Arabidopsis thaliana: one gene and its partners. The protein of the gene in region 3 interacts with the protein of the main gene of each other region in a pairwise test. Each region holds a gene or a part of one and is shown on either strand. Other genes may lie near its edges.

Evidence for each region.
Region 1: the proteins of AT1G52560 (region 3) and PPR2 interact in a two-hybrid assay, tested with the Arabidopsis thaliana proteins (one large-scale study listed by BioGRID).
Region 2: the proteins of AT1G52560 (region 3) and MAF1 interact in a two-hybrid assay, tested with the Arabidopsis thaliana proteins (one large-scale study listed by BioGRID).

The regions. Positions count from the first base shown.
Region 1 is NC_003074.8:1,954,023-1,960,768, forward strand, and holds PPR2 (Tetratricopeptide repeat (TPR)-like superfamily protein), read right to left. Parts: upstream 4,283-6,746; 5' UTR 4,219-4,282; coding exon 3,892-4,218; intron 3,770-3,891; coding exon 2,636-3,769; 3' UTR 2,387-2,635; downstream 1-2,386. Other genes in the region: ATG8H (Ubiquitin-like superfamily protein), read right to left, coding at 1,197-1,285, 1,377-1,495, 1,600-1,652, 2,057-2,112, 2,210-2,252.
Region 2 is NC_003070.9:28,952,487-28,962,342, reverse strand, and holds MAF1 (K-box region and MADS-box transcription factor family protein), read right to left. Parts: upstream 6,822-9,856; 5' UTR 6,665-6,821; coding exon 6,480-6,664; exon of another isoform or gene 4,033-6,479; coding exon of another isoform or gene 4,010-4,032; coding exon 3,952-4,009; intron 3,888-3,951; coding exon of another isoform or gene 3,842-3,887; intron 3,742-3,841; coding exon 3,499-3,741; intron 3,391-3,498; coding exon 3,349-3,390; coding exon of another isoform or gene 3,289-3,348; exon of another isoform or gene 3,193-3,288; coding exon of another isoform or gene 3,181-3,192; exon of another isoform or gene 3,014-3,180; coding exon 2,972-3,013; coding exon of another isoform or gene 2,930-2,971; exon of another isoform or gene 2,766-2,929; coding exon of another isoform or gene 2,733-2,765; exon of another isoform or gene 2,600-2,732; coding exon 2,498-2,599; 3' UTR 2,232-2,497; downstream 1-2,231. Other genes in the region: AT1G77090 (thylakoid lumenal protein (Mog1/PsbP/DUF1795-like photosystem II reaction center PsbP family protein)), read left to right, coding at 468-741, 953-1,056, 1,141-1,252, 1,370-1,597, 1,703-1,767; AT1G77060 (Phosphoenolpyruvate carboxylase family protein), read left to right, coding at 8,894-9,186, 9,270-9,343, 9,592-9,674, 9,792-9,816. UniProt on the Arabidopsis thaliana protein: Probable transcription factor involved in the negative regulation of flowering time in both long and short days, probably through the photoperiodic and vernalization pathways. Prevents premature flowering.
Region 3 is NC_003070.9:19,572,834-19,579,115, forward strand, and holds AT1G52560 (HSP20-like chaperones superfamily protein), read right to left. Parts: upstream 3,034-6,282; 5' UTR 2,934-3,033; coding exon 2,654-2,933; intron 2,369-2,653; coding exon 1,950-2,368; 3' UTR 1,705-1,949; downstream 1-1,704. Other genes in the region: AT1G52550 (uncharacterized protein), read right to left, coding at 352-503, 923-1,166.

The DNA of each region.
Region 1 (6,746 bases), on a different chromosome or scaffold from region 3:
CTTTTTTGTTTTTGTTTTTTGTTTTCTTGAGTTGTTCACATTGGTTAAAGTCGTGATAGAAATACTATAATCTTGGTTTCGATCCACATAACAAATCATCTTAAACAATAAAACCACCGCAGATTACGACTATACATTGTTTGTCTAAAATTCTGTTTAAAATTAAATTGTCGGTTATCCTTTCTTAATCTAATCCTTTTTATAGCAAATAAAAATAACAAGTCTAACTAACACACTGGGAGCACAATTATTACGTCCTGGATCAACTATTTTATTACATTATATCGTGTTTGTAACCGACATTGATATTTATAAATAAGAATGTGGCAGTTAATTAGGAATAACCATCTTTTTTTTTGTCAAGGAATAACCGAATCTATATACAAATGAAATGAAAGAGCACAAAAATTCCAAAAAGAAGCTTTGATCCAAATAGTTTTGGACATGGATGGCATCGTAACATCCCCCCAAGAATATACTCGATCAATTATTGGTCTCCTTGTGAAATTTTGTTTTATTTGCTCCGAAATATTGAGTTTAGTTTGAGATGGTGCCAACGCGTCATTAATCACTATTGAACTAAAATAGAGGCATTAATTAAGTAGTTATAAACTCGTTGGAAACAGAAAAGTTTTAAATCCTCATGTTAGAAGTGATGATTAAGAAGGAATAAAATATGTAATCGGAACATAAAATGTGTATAAACAAAAGAGGCAAAATAAACTTGTAGAGAAGATTAACCATATGATGGATGGATATACATAAACAATATTCTAAAAATTGCGGTTTTCTTAAAAACCTTATCGCATAAAACACACAATCCAAGTCGTAGGGTACACGTTTACCGCCGCACCGACATTGCAATTTCTTTAGGTCTCATTTTACCACATCTCCCCAAACTTACGTGCTTCCACGAAAGTATCTATATTCTTTTCTTTTTTTATAGGGAAGAACAAAACGCAAAAAGAGTTTCGTGTGAATCATCATCACTTGGTCTTATTATTATTGCCATAGTTGGATTATACATAATTTACAAAGTCAAATGTCTTTCTTTTTTTTAGCTTTTCTGTACAATGTCAGCTAACAACAACAATAACAGTAACAACAAGAGCTGACGTTATTCACAAACATAGGAATCAAACAAATGGATTATTCAGAGTGCGCTTCGATTTCGATATGAAGCGACAAATCTTTTGTTAGCCGAAAGTTTTCTCGGTGCTGTAGCACATGTACAAGAACCCGTCTTCTTCCTTGAAAGTATTGTAGAGAGAGTCCATGCGACTAGCTGCATAATTCAAGACAAGTGTTAATGGAAAGCTTTGGAAAACTGCAGGTAAAGTCTCACTCTACATGGATGATGATACTTCTTATCTTACCGGTTTGAGGAAGAGTGTTGTGTACGAAAACAAAGAGAGCTTTGGATGGATCTAACTGCATCCTTTTGCTTAGCATATGGATGAAATGTCCAACAGTCATGTCTCGTGGGACCAAGTATCTACAATAAACAAATGCGGGATACAGAGTTAAAAACAAGATTATTCACAGTTAGACAGGTTACACTTGGTTTGGTCCAACAGCTAAATTGATGTCACAACTCACTTGTTCTTCTCCATGTCTGGCAGATCTGCGTTTGAATATTTCTCAATGATCACCTACATAAGTAAATAAAACCCATCCATAAATGCTGGAATCTGATGAAGAAACCAAACCAAGAACAGATCCAAATCCCTAAATCAAATTGGTTTGGGTTGTTGTTGGTGATAGATCAAATCTCAACTAAAGAAGTCGTCTCCGACATTGACCAGAGTGATTGGATCAACACCAAACCGCACAAAATCAGTCAAATTTCAGATCCCAGATCGTATCCATCAAACCATGGCGAAGAAATTCTAAGATTGAAACAGAGATTCTAGCAAATTCGAGAGATGCAAGTCAAACGAAGACTTTTTTTTAATTGAGTAAATCATTCGAACCCTAAGGAAATCCACAATCGCACGGCAACTAAGACGGAAACACCAAGAAACAAATCAAACATGAAATTTATGAAATAACTTACAGGTATTCTATCTGGATATTTCGCAATGATGTTGTTCGACTCCTTCAATCTCTCATCTATATCCTCAAACAAAGATGAAAACTTTGCTTCAGAAGCACATTTCGAAGGAAAAAAAATTCCAAAGAATCAGAAAGAGATTAACGAAGAACAAACCAGAGGAGAATTGATCCTTGAAAGACTTGACAACAATCCCCATTACAGATTTCACGACGAATGATTCCTGACCGAATCGGTGTTTTTTTGTTTGCAGAGAGCAGAGGAAGAGGATGTGTTCAATTTTATGTTTGGTTAGTTCGTTTTTGATTGTTCGAGAAGAAACGGTAAAAGATGAGAGAAAAGAGATTATTTATAGAAAGACGACACGCACTTATCCACTTTTTGGACTTGTCCGATTTCTTGTGCACGTCACAGTTTATCTATGGGCCTCTATTCATAATTTTGGGCCCATCAAAATATATAACACGCATAGCTGCAAGAACAATCAAGTGTATTACAAACTCTTTTATTCTACTCTTTCAAGTGAGACATCGATCTCTCCTTGCAGAGAGAGAGAGAGAGAGATTCACACACAAACCGCAATCATCCTGCCGGAAGATTCTCCATCTCTTTTGTAGCAACAGTGCGATCCATAAGCTTTTGCCTCTCTTGTTCCAAGTAATAGATCTTATCATTCATACCTTCTTTTTCATACGCCTCGACCATGATCTCAAACGTTCTTGAATCGCATACGCATTGTCTCTCCTTCATTCTTATGTACACTCTTTCCATCTCTATCAGATCATCTGCTTTAGCACACGCTGATATCACCGCGTTGTAAAAGGCAGTATTCTCGGGTATCTCAAACTTAGCAGCCAACTGAACACTACTTATCACCTTGTGGAAAAGACCGGCATTGGCATATCCGTTTATGAGACAGCAAAAGGTCTTTGTGTCTGCTTTCATACCTTCGCTACGCATCTGATCAAATGTCAACTCCATGTTCTTTGCATCACCAACATCCGCAAACGCCTCGATGATATTGTTGTAGGTTGATGTTGTCCACGGAAACTCTAGCTTTCGCATGTATTCCATGACAGACGACATCTTATCATACATTCTCTTCTTCCCATAAGAACCAATCAAAATATTGAAAGTCCGAGTCTCTGGCTCAATCCCAAAGTTCCTGAACTTTTCGTACCAGCTCTCCATCATGTCTATCTTACCCATGTTTCCAAACACACTAAGGATGATATTCATAGTCCACACATCGGGTTTGCAAGCAGTACTCACCAACATATCAGACAAAACTTTCTCCATCTGATCAAACCTTCCGACCCTACCGTACCCACTTAAAACTATGTTCTGGGTCACAGTGTTTGGAGTTATCAAACGCTCGTCCATTTCCTTGTATAACGAATCCACCAAGTCAAACTGAGAAGCATCCACACAAGCCTTGAGCAGAGTGCTGTACGTGAAAACATCAGGTTGGCATTGAGGAAAGCTTTTCATTTTATCAAGAATTGAAAAAGCATCGTCGATGAGATTGCTGCGAGTGTAAGCAGCGAGAAGAGCAGTGTAGAGTTCAACAGTTGGTTCAAGTCCTTCTTCAAGCATTTCGTCGAACAGCTTCTGTGCACGATTGGGTTGACCAGATTTACCGAGAAGAACAAGCAGCTTCATGTAAGTTCCTTCCTTTGGTTGATAAAATGTTTGTTCCCTCAACATATCAAAAACCTAAGATCATCAACAAAATACCCAATTCAATCAAAATCATCTTTCAGCTAAATTATACTCGTGATTCAAAATTGAGTTCAAATTCAATCAAACATGAACGAGAAGAGAGAAAATCGAAATACCTCGAGAGCTTGTAACCACTGCTTTTTGGCGATGAGATCGGACAAAGTTTCAGTGACGGTGTTAACCCATCCGTTAGCTTTGCTTCTCCTGTCAAGTTTCTTCTTCACATTCTTTATCGGAGTTCTTCTCTGATTAACCGGCTCCGTGATTCCGGGGAATTCGCCGTCTTTCCAAAGCCTCTTCTTCGTAACACTTCCCGGAGAAGATTTCGAAGCAGCCAAAACGCATCTAACGATGCCCACATCTCTGTGACGAAACCTACGCTTACCTTCGGGGATTCTGGATGAACATAGCGAAGAAGAAAAGGAGAGAGACATTGACGCCATCGTCTTCTTCCTTCACACCTCACTGTCACTCTGTTTACGGATAATTCCCGTCGATACTCATTTCGGTTGGATATGGTAAAATACCGGTTTATATAACCGAACCGGAAACACATTTGATCCGTTCAAATCCCTTAAAAACCGGATCGTATTTTTAAATATGATCACATAATTGATCATTTAAAAATAATACGAGGCTATTTTTTTGGTGTTCAAAAAGATAAAAATAATAATATGAAGCTCGCATCTCTGTAAGTATATATATATATAAAACTAAAAGGAAAATCACGAATTATAGTATCAAAAATAGATTTAATAATAAAAATAAGGATTGGTGACTGGTGCACAAAAGGTGGTAACAAACAAACACAATCTTGACTAAATTCTATAGAAATATCCCAAAGAAAAAAAAAACAAATCCAGAAAAATATTGTATATTGATTTTGATGATGTCGATGTTGATGTGCAGATATTACTCTTTTATCTATTGCTTCCGTTGGAGTTTAGTTTTGTGGCAACAGTCTATTGTATGACTATCTGGGGATTTGGGAGTTTATCCGGCCGGCAAGCATACATTCATTGGTGTTGTTTGCAACGTTTACAACATTGTTATCATCTATCTTTTATTTACCATAGTAAGCTCTCTCTCTCTCTCTGGCTCTCACTTATTGATGAATATATAGATAAGTAAACTATTAAACTGGTTTTGATAAGTTTTTAATGCGTGAAACAATTAGGACAAAATGCCGCCGGAGACTAAGACCTTCAAGTACATGCCGTTTTGGCTATCGTTAGTTCGTTTCATCAACGCTGGAATTTGGACTGCTTATTCTTTGATCTACATAATTGATATCTACGTCCTTGTAAGTCCTTTTTTGTTTTTGTTTTGATCTACATAATTGATATCCTTTTTTGTTTTTGTAAGAAGGGCGAGCTAAAGAGTTTGAAGAGCTTAAAGGCGAGCTGAAGAGCTTAAGGCGAGCTGAAGAGCTTGAAGACGAGTTGGAGAGCTTGAAGACGAGCTGGGGGACTTGGTGAAGAGAACGAGTTGATAAGCTTGACGAAGAGGAGCGAGCTAACGAGCTTCTTGAGAAGGGCTCGCTGACGAGCTACTTGAGAAGGACGAGCTGACGAGCTATTTGAGACGGACGATCTTCGTGAGACGGGCGAGCTGACAATGTGCTGTCTCGGTGATAGTCAAGCGAGACGACACGTAGTCCATATTAGAAAGGGGTCAAGCCACACGTAGTTCATATTAGAATAAGTGAGCTAGGCCGTCATTGGAGGTAGGTCGGCAGGTAGTTGACGAGCCGGCAGATGTGCGACAAGCTGGATGAACCGTGGTAGAGAGACGAGTTGGATAAACCGAGTTGTTTGCTGAAGGTCTAGACGAGCTGGACGACGAGATAGGTGGACTATGCAGTCAATGGACGAACTGCCGCTAGGCGAGGAGGTAGATGAGTTTTGTTTTCGAGGGATGAGCTGATAGCTAGACGAGGAGTTGGACGAGCTGTATAGATGACAGCTAGACGAGGAGATGGTCGTTGAGTGGAGCATGAAGACGAGCTGAGAAGCTTGAAGACGAGTTGAGGAGCTTGAAGACGAGCTTAGCAGCTTGTTGAGCTTAATGGCGATCTGAAGAGTTTGAAGAGCTTAAAGACGAGTTGGAGAGCTTGAAGACGAGCTGAGGGACTTGGTGAAGAGAACGAGTTGATAAGCTTGTCGAAGAGGAGCGAGCTAACGAGCTTCTTGAGAAGGGCTCGCTGACGAGCTACTTGAGAAAGGCGAGCTACTCTGTGTCTGCGTGTCAGGCGGAATTCCCCCCTTCGACATGACATGCTATTCCGTATTTATAGCACTACGCGTGTAGGGCATTCATCGAGGGATTTGACGAAACTACCCTTCGCCTTAATACTCCTCCTTGGTTTGGAACTTATTTTGGGCTTTTGACTTGGGTTTGGGCATTGGGCCAAGTAGGCCCAATCCGACCCCTAATAGTTCGGCAAGGAGGAGTATATGATTTTAACCCCCCCCCCCATTAAATCTCCTGATACGTATTGAAACTTGAGGGTTTATGGTTTATGTTATGTTTCACTTATTTTGATCGTGTGTTGAGTTTTGTAATGAGGATATTATTATCATGTCTGTTACTTTTGGACTTGTTAAATTTTCGTAAACGTTGTTGCTTTTGTTGTATCGGGGCACACTTATCCGGATTTATCGATTATGCAATTGCCCTACTACATCACATTATTATTTAAATTTGTCTTCAAGTTTTTATTTCGCATAGCACATATATAAAGAAAACGCTTCGTTCAAACTCGTCTGTGAACTCCATAAAACTTATTAAAAAATCCGTCCAAAAAAATATATAGTATAGTTTGGATCGCATGAAAACATATCTAAACATAAGTCTTTGTTAGGGGTCGGATTGGGCCCTTCTCAAGTAGTTCATCAGCTCGCTCCTCTTCGTCAAGCTCTTCAGCTCTTCAAACTCCTCGGCTCGTCCTCAAGCTCCTCAGCTCGTCTTC
Region 2 (9,856 bases), 9.4 Mb from region 3:
TTTCTCATAATCCAATATATATGGTTAAACCAAAAACAAATATTGACTTGATATCCTACTTATTTTGCAAAATACATACTATGGTTTATTAATTCTGTACATTCAATATTCTAGTTTATTTTATTTATTTCCTTGTAATTCAATATGCATTCTTATAATGACAGAAAAAAATTCAATATGCATTTTTTAAGATTATTTTAGATTTATATTAACCAAAACTCTACTTTTGAATTAATCAGCATTAACCAATAATATAATCAAAACTGAAAACTCTATCGAACTTTTTTTTTTTTTTTTTTTTTTTGTCAATCAACTCTATCGAACTTATTATGTGATTTATTTACAGTAAGTGACATTGACACGTGTGAGGCTAGCAAAATGGTTAGTATCCATCACAAAAGAGGTGAGAGCCACGAATCTGTTGATCAACAAACAAACACATCACAATTCTCGAACTTCGCCGGAGAATGATGGAAACAGCTCTGCTCCGGTACTGCGTCAACTTTTCCGGTCACAAGAAAATCTCTGCTCATCAAAGAAGTAATAGTGAGATTCCGAAAACGAGTCCGGGAGGATGCGAAGACGAGTGGTGTGCTAGGGTTTTGAGTAGAAGATCGGTAATGGCGTCAGGGTTGGTCTCCTCGACGACGGCTTTAGCATTTCCAAGGGAAGGATTGGCTGTCGTTAAACAAGGTCTTCTCGCTGGGAGAGTTCCTGGTCTGTCCGAACCTGATGAAGAAGGTTCGTTTCACTCTGTTCTTGATTCCTCTTCTTCTTGTCTTGCTCTTACTCTGTAGCTTTATTCGTACACTCTTTCTTCTTCTTGAGAATGTTACTATTGGATCATAGATTCATAAATCTTTAGGCTTTGGACATTGATTCTTGGAGTTGTATTATGACAGTATAGTAGTTGGGAATTTGTTGGTGTAATGTAATTGTAATGCTCAGACAGGTTGGAGAACATACCGTAGACCAGACGAGAAGTCAGGAGGGCATGGTGTTGGTTGGAGTCCTATTATCCCTTACGCCTTTTCGGTTCCTCAAGATTGGAATGAGGTTTTGTCCCTTGGCTCTTGTTTCTTCGTTTCTATGGTTTTTAGTCATACTTTGAGATTCTTTTCATTGTTGTATCAAATTTAGGTACCTGTATCGATCGCTGATCTTGGTGGCACCGAGATTGACTTGAGATTTGCTAGTCCTAAAGAAGGCCGTTTGTCTGTTATTGTAGCTCCTGTTCTTAGATTTGCAGATAGTAAGTTGTCTCTGCTATTAAAGATTCATCAACTTTACTCTTTTGAGTTATATAGGCAATGCAATCTTGTCTATTTGTACTCGTAGATTGATTGATTTGTGTGTTCCACTTATACAGACCTCGGGGACGATGTTAAGATTGAAAATATTGGACAACCAGCGAAGGTGATTAACGCGTTTGGACCAGAAGTTATTGGAGAAAACGTAGAAGGGAAGGTGTTAAGTTCCAATGTTGCAGAACACGATGGTAGACTCTATTACCAATTCGAGCTAGAGCCGCCTCATGTACTGATAACTGCAACAGCTGCCGGAAACCGCCTTTACTTGTTCAGTGTCACCGGAAACGGTAAGGCAAAACCTCTCTTCTAGTCAGAGATTTAAAGACAGAGCAAACACCTTTTGTTTGGTTTGTACACATAGTTAATTGCTCTGCTTATGTTTGATTCTATAGGTCTTCAATGGAAGAGACACTACAAGGATCTGAAGAGGATAGCTAGTTCATTCCGCATTGTTTAGACTTTAGAACTTTTTTGGATATATCAGATCTTCAACAAGTTACTCAAGTGTTTCTCAAGACTAAGAACACAAAGAGCGGTACATAAATGTGTATTTGTAAAAAGTTGAGAATCCTGTAATATTATACTAAACAACATACGAGCAGTGAGTTTGGCATACGGTTGTATGGATCTGGATTCATCAGAAAGAACCAAAACATGAAACAGAGTTCAAAAGCTGGCTTTTTTGAGTTCTTCAAAAACACAAATAATAAAACTTGGAAAAGGTGAAAAATATCTTATATAGTTTGGAGCTCTCAAAAACAGAATCACTAAACTTGGAAAAAAGAGCAAAATATCTGATATGGTTTTGATCAAATTAAAAGAGATGCAACTAAATAACTTTGCCACGTAATGTAAGACAAATAATCAAATAATTAAAGTTATAAAAAAAAAAAGTAAAAAAAAAAAGAAATAAGAAGGTCTAGGGTTCTTCACGCTGAAGAAAGAAAGCACAACTTTAAAAATCCAATCCGTACATTCAGACACAAACACACAAACTCTGATCTTGTCTCCGAAGGAGGTACAACACTGATCCATACTTTCTCGTTTTCTTTTTGACCTTAAATTCCACACTAGAGGAAGATAAAAGGTTTGAGATTACACAGCTTTTTATAATATACAAATTTATTCTCTTAATTATGAATCAGGCTTTGAGTTTAAGGTGAAAACTCAGCCGTTGATGATGGTGGCTAATTGAGCAGCGGGAGAGTCTCCGGTATTTTGTTGCCGGAGCTACTTCCCGGAAACATTCCTCTCTCATCATCTGTTGCCAGCAACGTATTCTTTCCCATCTGTAAGAAACTTTCTTACATTTCTTTTTTTTCTACAGCTACTAAACATTGCAAGAAATTAATCTATCTTGTAGAAAGCATTTTTTTTATTTGCAAATTTCACAAATTAAAAATACCGGGTTTTGAGTATCTTTCATCGGTGAGACATACCTTTCTTCTCTGACAGCTACTAAATTAACAAGAAAGATAGATTTTAAAAGCATTTTGTTATCACTTATCACATATTTAGGGTTTCACTATAATTGTCTAGTATCCATCAAAGTCCTTCAACTTTTAGTTTTCATGTACGTGTATATGTGTATCTCTCTATAACGGGGACGTATAAAGTGATTAATTAGCTTCAAGAGCAGAAGATATTGTGGTCATTGTTACCTGGCTAGCCAGAACCTGGTTCTCTTCTCTCAGCAATTTCTCCTGTTTGGAAAAGATCATAAGGTCATTAGTTTCTAACAACTTCTATAGCTATTTCCAAACATGTTTCCTTCTCGAAACATAAATCATCCTCATCCAAATTCGACACTTTATGAGGGAAAGGTTGGATTTGATCAAGAGTTTAAAACTGCTTGTTTTTTTAATTCTCATTAGGGTTTCACCTGAATGAAGCCAATACTAAATCAGGAACTAAGACAAGACCAAAAGATATATATATATATATATAGTAATCTGTAGACTCAGCAGGTTAATAGAATTCAAGAATCATCATAGCCTAGAATATGGCCTTTATCGAAAATAAAAACCAAAGCACTAACCTTTTCTTTAAGGGACTCGATATACTCCATCATCAGTTCTGCCTATAACAAGACATTAAGATTTATGTCAAAAGATTGTTCTAGGATAACTAACTAAAAAGAAGGTTTTGTGGAGTAATTGGTTGAATCACTTAGTAGCAGCACATATACCTTCCTAGCTCTACTTACGGACAGAGCAGTCTCAAGTTGTTCCTCCAGAGAAATTAGAGAATCTACACTTACATTATCGACATTTGGTTCTTCAAGCTTGCTGTATTCACAAGTAGACAAAAGAAAAAAAACATTTTTTTTATCAGAAGAAGAGGGGAGAAAAATGTGTCGTACTGCTAACCTTTGGACTGTTTCTAGTAACTCCTTGTGTGGAAGATAATTCTGAATTTTTTCTTCAAGATCCTGCACATGAAGAAAAGGAATGGTCAGAAAGATTGTGAAGTTCTTGTATTTTCCAGTAGACACAATAACTGTAACTCTAGAGAATTAAGTTCGGTGTTACGAGTTCAAAACATTGAGGTTTCTCCGGCTTGAACAGCGCTTCTATCCTTCATAACACCAAAAACCGCATCCAGAAGAATATTAGAATGACGTTCTTAGCTAATTACTTACTAAGGCTCTAAGTTCATCAGCATGTTGTATTTCATAACGATCAATGATCTTGGAAATGCTGGAGATAAAACAAAAATGCATTAGAACAATAATTTATGCAAAAACCATTTCAAAACTAAGAATCAGATACTGCATCAATAGAGGCCATTATTTAGAGAGAATGCACCAAAGTGAAAGAAAGCTTATATAATATGTTACATTTGCAACAATTTCTGTTACTAACCAACAGTTTTTGATAATCATCTTTACTTAACCAGGCATCTATATATAAAAATGATAGTAAGTATAAAAGCATTAAAAAAAACAATGTAAGTTACTATTAGTTACCCTATTTTTGAAGTTACTGCTTTAGATATATGTGTTCAAAATGTTTTATACTTCAAATGTAAATCTGAAACTCTGATCATCTGGTGCTCTAAAATTAAAATCTGAATTTACAATTTCAACTTTAAGATCCTGTTATATATCAACTTCGCAGCCAATATTGTCATTGTTTCGACTTCAAAAGGTTTTAGAAACTAAGTGCACACATTTTTAACTCATCCCCATGAGTTCGATTATCTACCTTCTTTTTCTTATCAAGGCTAAATCAGTTTTATAAAGAAGCTCTATTTTTGGTTCTTCAAAAAACTAATATCATGCAAAATGTATGATTGTATAGATTATAAATCACATCCTTCCAAAAGACAAAATCTTGATGAAATTCATGTTCATTTTAAGGGAAAATTTTCAAGAATTCAATGCAATCAGTTTATATTTTGACTAGTCAATCCAAGTTTTAGTTATTGACGCTTTCACACATAACGTCAAACGAATCGGAATACTGAAACCAAAAACCTTTGGCTAAATGATATCATGATACTCCAAAAAGGATAAACCAAGAAACTGATTTAGCATTTCCGGGAAGGTCATGACAGCTCTAATCCTATATATGTGTTGTCCATGATCTATTAATGCTATGATATGAATAGAGACTGGCTTCAAATTCACTTCAGTTATTACACGTTCTTATCTTTTTAGTAACATCTCAAGTTGTGACTTAGTAATTTTACATCAATCACAAAAAGAAGAAAAAATGAACAATTAGTAAGACGCATAAGACGACTAATCTCAACTAAAAACACTTTGCATAGTGCCACTTTGTTAAGGTATAAGAACTAAATAAAGAAACTAGCTACAACTAGAGCTTGACTATTGTAAAATGGAGACAGATAGATACGGTTCCTAATACTTCGTCTATAGTCTGTGCATTTTGTTGGTTACAAATTTAACAAATTTGCTTTCATGATCAAGCATTTATGGAGTCAACATCAAGGAAATGAGAAGGAGCTGTATATATACACATACTGACAAGAGTTACCTTTCCATTTCCTACTTATCCATTGATGATTTTATCTTAGGTCTATTAGAAAAAAAAAACTCACTTTTAGTCGCATTCAAAGTATTCTAAAAGAGAAGTGGATGAGATTTTTCTAGATACAAAAGTTCATGGGGTTAAAAATATCCACGACAAATAACAGAAGACTATTAAAGTCATTGAACATTTGGTTGTAGTCTAGTGGTTTCTCCCAATTAGTAAAATTGGCGACCGATTTCTACTTAATGAACCTACTAGGCCACTGACATATATATGGTAGCAGTAAAATCAGTTATAGTTTGAGTTTCTTTAGCAAAGAAATCCAAACTACAACATCTTAGAGAGCAACAAAGAGTCACTCAGTAAGACATAATGTATCTTGTATGGTGTCATAAACACACAACAAATTACGATTAAAAGGGTTAAAATCGATATCCAATTAGTTAAGTAATGAAGAATGTGTGGCGAGTATCAATGTGGAAACTTATCCCAGCACTACAATAAACCATCAAAATCAACTAGATAAACCTTATTCCTTAAAGAGAATTACAAAAGAAAAGATCTACAATACATTTTGGATCAACATAAAGTACAATGTGTTAACCAATTTGAACCAAAGATATTCGATTAATGTTACCACTAACCCCAAATAATCTCTCAACAAAACTACTTGAAGTGCATTGCAATATTGAATATAATTACCAAATCTCAAAATTTGAACAATCTAAACATATTGTTTCTTATATGAAAAAACGAAGCTTCAAAGTGAACAACAGATGGAACTAGCAATACAAAGATTACTTAAACAACATCAAGAACGAATCACCACGTGTAGAAAAGTTTCTTGAATAACATGCAATATTAAATTTCGTCACAAATGAAGGTAAAAAAAGAGATAAAAATGATTTTAAAATGAAAAAAAAAAAAACACGAAAAAAAAAACACGAAACGAACATCAAGAACATATCTTGGCGATCAAAATGTTTAGTCTTAAATTAGGTTAAAGCTTACGCATCTGCTATCTTCATACAGAAAACAAGGAGAAAATCTCAGTTGATTTGATGGAATCAAAAAGCCCTAGATTTGAAGCTTCTATATGGAGAAAGTAATTAAACAAAGTAAAAAAGCACAAAAATCGAGTGAGACCCAGAAAAGGAAAGTATCTTCTTACTCGTCACCGGAGGAAGAGTCATAGAGTTTTCCGGAGGCAGATACGACGACAACAGCGACGGAGGATTCACAGAGAATCGAAAGTTGTCGAGCTTTGTCGATGAGACCATTGCGTCGTTTGGAGAAAGTGACTTGTCGACTGCTTTTGTTCTCGATTCGCTTGATCTCGATTTTTCTTCTTCCCATGGCTTCAAATCTCCGATAAGGGTTATGCCCTAATTTAATCCTAATCTCCGGAGACGCTCAATGCTTTTTGCTTTTTATTCTTTTTTCTTGGTTTTTTTTTTCCTCCAACTCGTTTTTTTTTTTGGTTAAACGAGATAGAGAAAATAATAGTATTAAGCGAAACGATTGCGTTTTGAAGCCACTAAGAGGCAAATTTTTAAGCTTGTCGTTGTTAAAGACTTTTTAATCCAGTCGGTTAGACCGGTCCGAGTCCGATCATCATCCCCACCGAACAGAAATTGGTTTTTAAGGTTTTCTCTTTTTATTTGGAGGGTTTAAAAGTTATTTTATCTCATTGGTTTTGATCGGAAAGTAGTGCTTATGAATCGGGTAACGGTTAATTCAAGGATTTCAGTTATTATTGACGTAATTATATTAAAGATTGATCGGATAATCAAAACTACAATGCAAACTTTCACTAAAATGGTTTTGAATTCAAATATTTTTAAATCGATAATTTTCAATACGTTTGACTATCACCAATTTATTAAAAGTGATTAGTAACTTGACCACTATCAGTGTAAGATAATTGGTATTGAAAACATTATATTATCTAAAACTAAGAGCATATTTTAAAATGTTTGTTTAATTTCTTTGTTTTCTGAATCCATCTTGTCTTGATGCATTGGGATATTCAGATAGCACCTCCCCGCTCCTATGATGGCTCTCCGAGCGATTTTGACCATTTCACCAACTAGAAAGCCTTATCAAAATCTTTGTGCTTTCTTCCGTCTCCAAGAGTAACCATTACTTTATCGAGTTAGGTCGTAGGTTCTGCCGTGGCTCATTCATACTACGTCTCAAAACTGAGTTAGGGATGGTAACTAATTTGGCTTCCCCATTTTCAATGTTTGTTCGCTTACGCTATAAAGGTGAACCAGAATCAGCCCACGACCCTAACCGGATTAAACCGACATTGTTCTTCTTCCCAATCTCGTTTCGGCCCAATATTAAACCAACGAGCCAATACTCCCTTAAACGATTATTTGGGGCAAAAAGACTCTCAACTCTATTCACATGCCCATTAAAGGCCCGATATAATTTCACCGTCCAAAACTACAAATTCGTTTCGGCTTGCTTCATTTCTCAGCTTCTGGTTAATGGGTGGTAAATGATAGCTCTAAGAATAAAGGCTTTTCTCTACTACATAAGAAAAAAAAAAAGAGAAAAAAAGAAATAGCCCATCTCTACTTGTCCCTTTTATTGGCCTGATTTAGCTTATTCAAAAATAAGAAAAGAAATGGGTTTGTTAATAATAAATCAGTAATACTAATCTAACGGCTAATTGTCAAATCGTTGAGAAGACAGTCGAACGGTAAGTTTAATTTTAAAAAGATCAACATTATAGCCGTTGGTGAAGATTGCCAACAAGCCCTATAAATACTTCCACTAAACTTTTTTACAGCCATCCAAGTGGACCAATCTTTTTTATTTGGCTAAAATGTCAATTGAATTCAGATGGTATAGTTGCACACAAGAAAAATAAAAAATAAAAAAAATCAGATGGTATCAACAGTTTACATATTCACCCTTAATCAAAACGGAAAAAGAGAGCATAAAGCCATAAAGTAAAATTCAGTCTAAAAAGCTGTAACAATTTCTTAAATACAAACGACCCAATTTGTTGAGATGTGAAAAAGGCAAAAACAAGTCACTACATGAAATTGGATGTTGTAGGCCCAATTTGTTGAGATAGTAAAACCGAATCATTTTTTATCAAGCATTAGGTTGGAAATTGGTTGGCCCATAGAGTATGTAAAATCAAAGTAGAAATGGAGAAAAAGTGAAAAACAATGAAATCTTTCTTGTTTATTTTGATTTTTCTCAAAATTTACATCTTTTCGATTGTTATCATCTTATAGGTCTTTTGCAACTCTCTTGCCTTTGTCGTGCTTGTTCTGGTGGAGAAAGGAGTCGTTGTTTTGTGGGCTCTTGTGTTATGTTGTGAAATAGGTTTGGTGACATAAAGGCCCATTTCTATGATGAGCTTAAGCTAACCAAATTATACATTTATTGTTAGATTGCCTCTAACATTTTCACAATACCTTGTGGTTTGAGTCTTTGAGATACTGTTACCATAAGATAAGACCGAGATATAATAACCACGTGCTCTCTATTAAAATCCCAAGCGTGTGGGTCAGAGTCTAACTCGATTAGAGAGAAGAAAAAACTTGTTCGAGGCTTCGAAGAATGTCGATGTTAATGGCTGTCAAAACAACTTCACTCTGTTGTAGCAGCTTAAACCTTACAGCTTCACCAACATTCCGACGGAACCCACGCGCGGCGAGATTGGTGAATCCGACAGCGAGAATCCAAACACGTTTTCATCGCCTGATTGAAGAACAAGGCATTGTGCTTATGCCTGGATGCTACGATGCCTTATCCGCGGCTATTGTGCAGCAAACCGGATTCTCCGCTGGTTTTATATCCGGTTACGCCTTATCCGCTTCTCTCCTGGGAAAACCCGATTTCGGTTTGCTAACGTGCGCCACCTTTTTTTTTTTCTTTCTTTAGTAATTTTTTGTTTGTATGCTTTCGTTTTATTTGTGTTCTTTCGTCGTTTTAGACCACCGGAGATGGCTGCGACGGCAAGGTCGGTGTGTGCGTCAGCTCCTAATATACCCATCATTGCAGATGCTGGTAAAGTTGCAAAATTTTGATAGTATAATAAAGACATCATTAAAGAATGCAAGAAGCTTAACTAAAACCAAAAAAGGAAAAAAAACATTTAAAAACATTGAGTCGTTGATTCTTTACCAAAGATTGAAAGTATCAATCTTTCTTGGTTAGAGTCGCTTGCTTGCTTATAGTTCTCTTCATAGCTTTTTGAAAATAGTGGATTTGCTTGGTTATAGTTCTCTTCATAGGTTTCTTTTGATCTTTTCAAGATACCGGTGGAGGAAATGCGCTAAACATTCAAAGAACCGTAAAGGATTTGATTGCAGCTGGTGCTGCTGGTTGCTTCCTTGAGGTAAATTGCCTTCTTTTTTTGTCACCTCTGCTTCTTTGACGAGTTCCTCTGTCTTAGAATTGATCAAGAGTCTTTGGATATTGTTCATTTAACATTTGATTGCTTCATTCTTGTTAGGACCAAGCATGGCCAAAGAAGTGTGGTATGTGTGAAATCTTCATTTTCTAAGTCACTGTTCTAAT
Region 3 (6,282 bases):
ACAACAAACATTCAAATCAAAGAAACGGTGCGGTTTACCGTTTGGCTGAATCAAGCACACACCAAACACATCTAGTCATTTACAATCTGAAACAGCTTTCAATAAACAATGATATTGATTTGGCATTTTGACTTAAATGCAAACTACTTTAGTTTCATCACAGTAGAGTAATCTCTATAGCTCTAAGCTAGAGATATCGTAAGAAGAGAACAATCTAGTTTCTAGTATAAAACTGTAGTCTGACAAGAAATTTGCTTTACTTGGAAGAATATTTCCTCTGTATATATACACAAACGTGTAGAGGAGTTTTCATCAATCATCATCATCATCACCACACCAATCTAACTAATACTATTTGAAGCGTGAACCCTTCTTCCCTTTACCATTACCTTTGCTGCCTCTTCCTTGTAAAGCCGAAGCCCAAAAGAAGAGAGAGATCCAAATTAGTACTGAAAGAAAGATCTTTACACGGTCTTGAATCATCGACGCTACTCCCACAAGACCTACACAAAATGTGATACCAAACAACAACTATGAATCCAAATTGTTAAGAAGATTGCTCTCGTATTGCAACCAATGACTAAACCTGTAGGGAAAAGAAAATGGTGGAACTTTTGGAAGACATTCACAAGTTGTAAAAGGAGGAGATTTATAAATCCTTAATGCTTAACAAGAGTAAAAGTCTATAAATTGTCACAAAGATCAAAACTTTAGCAATGAACAGTAATCGATCTTGAGGACTAAGATTAACATCTTTATCTACGAATCAATAGCAGTTAAACCACCTTCATTCTCCTAATTCGAATTCCGTAATGCAATTTCATCGAATTAGGAAAGATTGAAAAATAGAATTGGCAGTAAACAAAATCAGAACTCAGAGTTGAAACATTGAAGTTTTAAGGGTAAGAAGGGAAAGACGAACTTGTGAGCTCAGTCGTGTTTTTAGGCGGAGGTGGGTCGGGACTAGGCGGCGTTGGAGGGCCGAGAGGAGCGACCGCGATGCGTCGTACAGGTTTTGGAGTGGGGACGAGGAAAAGGGTCTGAGAAGGAAGTGGAGACGACCGGAACGGTGAAAAGAACGACGGAGATGGAAGAGGATGGTTTTTACGGCAGCGATGGAGGTAAAGGTTGGAGCTTGAAGTCGTGTTGGCAAACGCCGTCGCCATTTTCTTCACAAGGTATTTTGGACCTTGTTTTGTTTTCTCATTATTTTAATTTTAATTTATGTATACATTATCAAAAAAATGTTTTTGGTTTTTTCCTTCTTAATACCAAACTAAAAGAAGGAAAATGAAATATTTTCTATAATTTTCCACAAACTATTGAAATATCATGCATTTTTGTTTAACATAAATATTGTGTTTTCTTGACGACAAAAAAAAAAAATATTGTGTTTTCTTTAAAGAAACTGAACTCTGACAATACACTAAAATACTGTACTTATTAATAAATAAATAATTTAATGTATAACATAACTTGTCTATAAAGAAAAATATTTCATAGTATAGTATAGCAAATCCACAATTATTAATACAAAATTTACAAATAAAATTTTGATATGAGGTACAAAAATGGACTTCTTGTTTAATATATCAACATTTTTGTGTTCATGACGTGAATTAGCAATTTACTCCATTGAGCCATTCGCATAGAAAACATAAAAGGGACACAACATTTGCTGCTTCTTTTAATTAATTTTGGCTTCTTTCTTTTGCGAAAATTAACTATGCTGAATAACAATTTATTCCATTCTCATTACAAACACAAAACTGGTTCATTCTTTGCTTGTTCAATTAGTCTATAATGTATTTTCTAGCTTCTTTTGTTTGCGCAAATGAACTAAGTTAATTAGCAACTTAATAACTGATTCCATTCGCATAAACATAAAAAAGGTACAACATTAATTTGCTTAGTCCATCAAAGAACACAAAAACGACACCGTATCTCTTCTACTCAACAGAAATCTCCTGAACATTCTTCTTTGGCTTCTCCGTCCTAGGAATCACAAGATTAAGCACACCATTCTTGAGCTCCGCCTTAATGTCCTCAACCTTAGCATCATCAGGCAACGATAAGCTCGTGTTGTAGTAACCATAACTCTTTGAAGACCAGTACTCGTCTTCCTCAGGTGAGCCTTTCTCTTCCTCCGCCTTGTGATCTCCTTTAATCGTCAAGATTCCATCATTTACCGTGATCTTCACGTCTTCTTTGGTTAGCCCTGGAACCTCGTATCTGAGCTTGTAACAGTCGTCTTGCTCTTTCACTTGACCCATTAGTTGGAATGGATTCACGTTGAAGTTGTCGAAAATTCTGTTCATATTCTCTGTTGCTTGTATCAGAGTATTTCCTATAGTCGGAGGAAAGAACTCTGTTTTAAGAAGAAGAAAAAATTCAATTCAAGCAAAAATAGAGGTTTACATTAATTATGTTTCATGAGATTTAATGCAATGAAAATGTAAATTTAAAATTTGATGTATTTTTATGATTCTAGAATTTCAAATTTTCTTCTTAATTTTTCTTTTATGGGATATATTTTACACTTAAATGTTGAATTTTTTTTATATAATTTATTTCGAAAATATTATTATTGTGACACTATTGAAATTTTCTGCTAAATAGGTATATCAATAATGAACTAAAATGACAAACGTACCATTTAGGGTGGGAGTGAAGTAGCCATGATCGTCGGTGTTACGCCAGAGGCTTTTTCGGCCACGTCTCCGGGGGAAATTCTGTCGAGGAGATTTCTTCTCAGACACACTCACTTCTGTGTTCATCTTATCCTCTTGTTCACCAGCCGAAGTAGCCATGAATCTGTTTAGCTTCATTGGATTATGTCGATTTCCGACCAAACCTCTTTCACAAGATTGACCCATCAAACTAGGAGACAGTTTTTGTTGAAGGTTTCTCAAAGCCAGACGAGCTAGAGCCATTGTTTTCAAATCGGTAAATTTCTTAATTTTTGTCTTCTTGTCTTCTTTTTTGTGAGTTTGCAAGAAAAAGGCAAGAAGTGTTTGGTTTATAAAGATGGGATTAGGGTTTATGCTAAAAGGTTGGTTTCTAAGAGGTGTTAGAAGTTTCTAAGAGTTTCTGGTTCATTTGGGAACATAAAACAGAGATGCTTCTTGTTTCTTCTACAGCCCTTTTTCTAGATAATCACAACAAGGTTATTTTATTATCAATATTTGTTTTCTTTGAATAGTTAAAACGAAGAAAATCATGACACAAGACCAACCGCCTTGACCTTGCAATTCCTAGAAAGTAGAAAGACCCAAAATCTTTCAAATTATTCTTGAAATTTGTTTTTGGATAACTTATTTCAACAAAACTAACAACATAATTAATATAAATATAGTCATATGGATTTTGGTTTTGTGTTAAGAACATTAAATGAATGTCAAACAATTGTGTCGATCAATATTTTATCAAAAACAAAAAAAAACAATTGTTTCGATCCAAACTTCTAATGGTAACTCTGTCCCCAATCTTTTTTTATAAATCAACTCTGCAACATATGTGGGTTGCTAACTTGTTATACAATTATACATTTTTTTTGTTTTTCTACTAAAATGACTTTTTAATTATTGACGGTTCATACTTAACAAGCAACTGAGTCACAAACATATATATCATAACCATTAATAAATTGTAAACGAGGTGGTAATATAGGAAATTTGAATATTTGTACAACATCCAGATTCTTCCGCAGGTCTCTCTTTGCTAAGGTAATAATGTTTTACAACTCATAGAACTTTATAAATCAACTTTGAAAAAAATATGTGGGTTGTGTCGCTAGACCGGCACAAAAATCTTAGGCGATGAATCATTGGTTTGAATCGAAAAATTAATTACGTTAGACACCCGTTTCCTCCGTGAGTTTGTACTACTATGTTTTTATTTGTACTACTATATGTTTTTAGTATTATTGATGATTACTAATTATTTTATTCTGTGTAATAAAATTAATTTAAACCTATTTGATATTGTTTAATACTTATATTTTGCTTATGATTTGCTCATATACATTTTTTAAATTCTTTTATTCTTTTATTATGAAAATGTATCTTTAGTCACTAGCCTTTTAATTTTCTTCTCTTTTCTTGTTATGGAACCCTTTTTCTTCCTTTTTTATTTTGGCTTTTTAAAAAAAAATCTTTTTGGCTATTTCAGGTTTGCTTGATGAAATATATGTTTTTAAAAAAAAATATTATATTTTTCTTAGAAGTAAACTGAATCTAAACGAATCTAAACATATCGAACCTGTGACATCTACTGTCCCTTGAACACAATAGTTCAAGAGACAGTAGATGTCACAGATACGACGTCTTTTAAGTTGTTTAGATTCGTTTTTGTAAAGTCTATCCATGTGGCATCCTAGTCAGCTACATTAACGGTTTAACTAACGGCATCTATTGATTTGTTGGTTTCAGCCATATTTTGATTGTTTATGTAGTAAATTCAAATTATAAGTTAGTTCATATAGTTAAAAGCATACTTCAAAGTTCTATGTATGGATACGATAAAGTAACTAAGTTTGGAGTGGAATAGACCGTTCTCCCGCTCTTTTGCAGCCTACTTTGAGATGAATATAAACCACAGCATGATGATGAAAACCATCGCCATCCACAAGCTTGCGGTGTCTTGAAGGCCGGCCGGAACATAAAACCCAGCGAATAGATGCTTTTTTTTTTTTTTTTTTTTGTAAACAGCAAATAGATGCTTTAGACAGCAAATTTTATATGTATTTTAAAGGACATCAAATTTTATGGAACGTCTTATAATCTATTGGTTTTCTGTGCTTTGAAGGTAGAAAGTGATTGGTTCGATCCTTGGTAATCGAAAATATTAAAACAGTTTTCTATTTTTATTTGTTGTAAATGGACATCAAATTTTGTTGAGCTTTAAACATGATTAGTCTTTGGACCGACTCTGACCACGAATGACAAATTCAAAAATCATAATCAAGTAGGCTATGTGTCAAGCAACTACAATTACCCCGCATGTCAAAGCCTACTTTGAGATGAATATAAACCACAGCATGATGATGAAAACCATCGCTATCCACAAGCTTGCGGTGTCTTGAAGGCCGGCCGGAACATAAAACCCAGCAAATAGATGCTTTTTTTTTTTTTTTTGTAAACAGCAAATAGATGCTTTAGACAGCAAATTTTATATATATTTTAAAAGACATCAAATTTTATGAAACGTCTTATAATCTATTGGTTTTCTGTGCTTTGAAGGTAGAAAGTGATTGGTTCGATCCTTGGTAATCGAAAATATTAAAACAATTTTCTATTTTTATTTGTTGTAAATGGACATCAAATTTTGTTGAGCTTTAAACATGATTAGTCTTTGGACCGACTCTGACCACGAATGACAAATTCAAAAATCATAATCAAGTAGGCTATGTGTCAAGCAACTACAATTACCCCGCATGTCAAAGCCCATTTCCATAAACAAGCCGTCACAACAAAAACGCCAACTATCAAGATTGCTTCCAAAGCGATCAAAAGATTCCTCCATGCCGATTGAAAAGTTATTCTTTCATCTTATTTATCAGAACTGAAATATAGATATAACCGGTTTGGATCCTCTATTTGTACGCTCACAAATAACACAAATTAGTAAAAGTTTTGCCTTTCATTTTGATGACAAGCTATTAATTAAAGGGATGAAATGAAAATAATAGTGCAAAGGCACGAACCATGCTTTCGGTTTGCAACTACAATCTACTTTGTTATTTAAAAACCGTTTCTGATTTTCTCTAAGAACAGAAATGGGACCGGTTACGACCAAAAAAGCCCATGTGTCCAGAGTATTGTCGAATTATTAGCTTTTGGACCGACCTTATCCATCTTTGGACCGTTGTTGGCTTTTAAGTGCCCTCTCAGTGTTTTTGTTTTATTCTCCTTTACATTTAACCAAATTAAATACTTCAAAAACTAATTGTAAGTTAGGTTACGGTTAGTAGGTAAGCTTCTGGTGAGAAAAAAAGAAATAGCTAATTAGTAATACATTATTTCTCCCGATTGTGTCAATAAGTTTCGAACAAGATTGTCCAAATTACTTCCAAAACACTGTGAACGATTTTTATTTAGTTTGGTATACATAACTTAAAAAAATCAGTGATATATGAATATGAAGCCGATTAGTTTTGAAATTTAGCATAGTTAATTACAATAATTTAGTCAAAATATTAGACAAGAAACGTATAATTTTCGATTGGACCGTCACGTGGTTTTGGCGGTTAGCAATTTGGACCGCCGGTTTGTTTCGTTTACA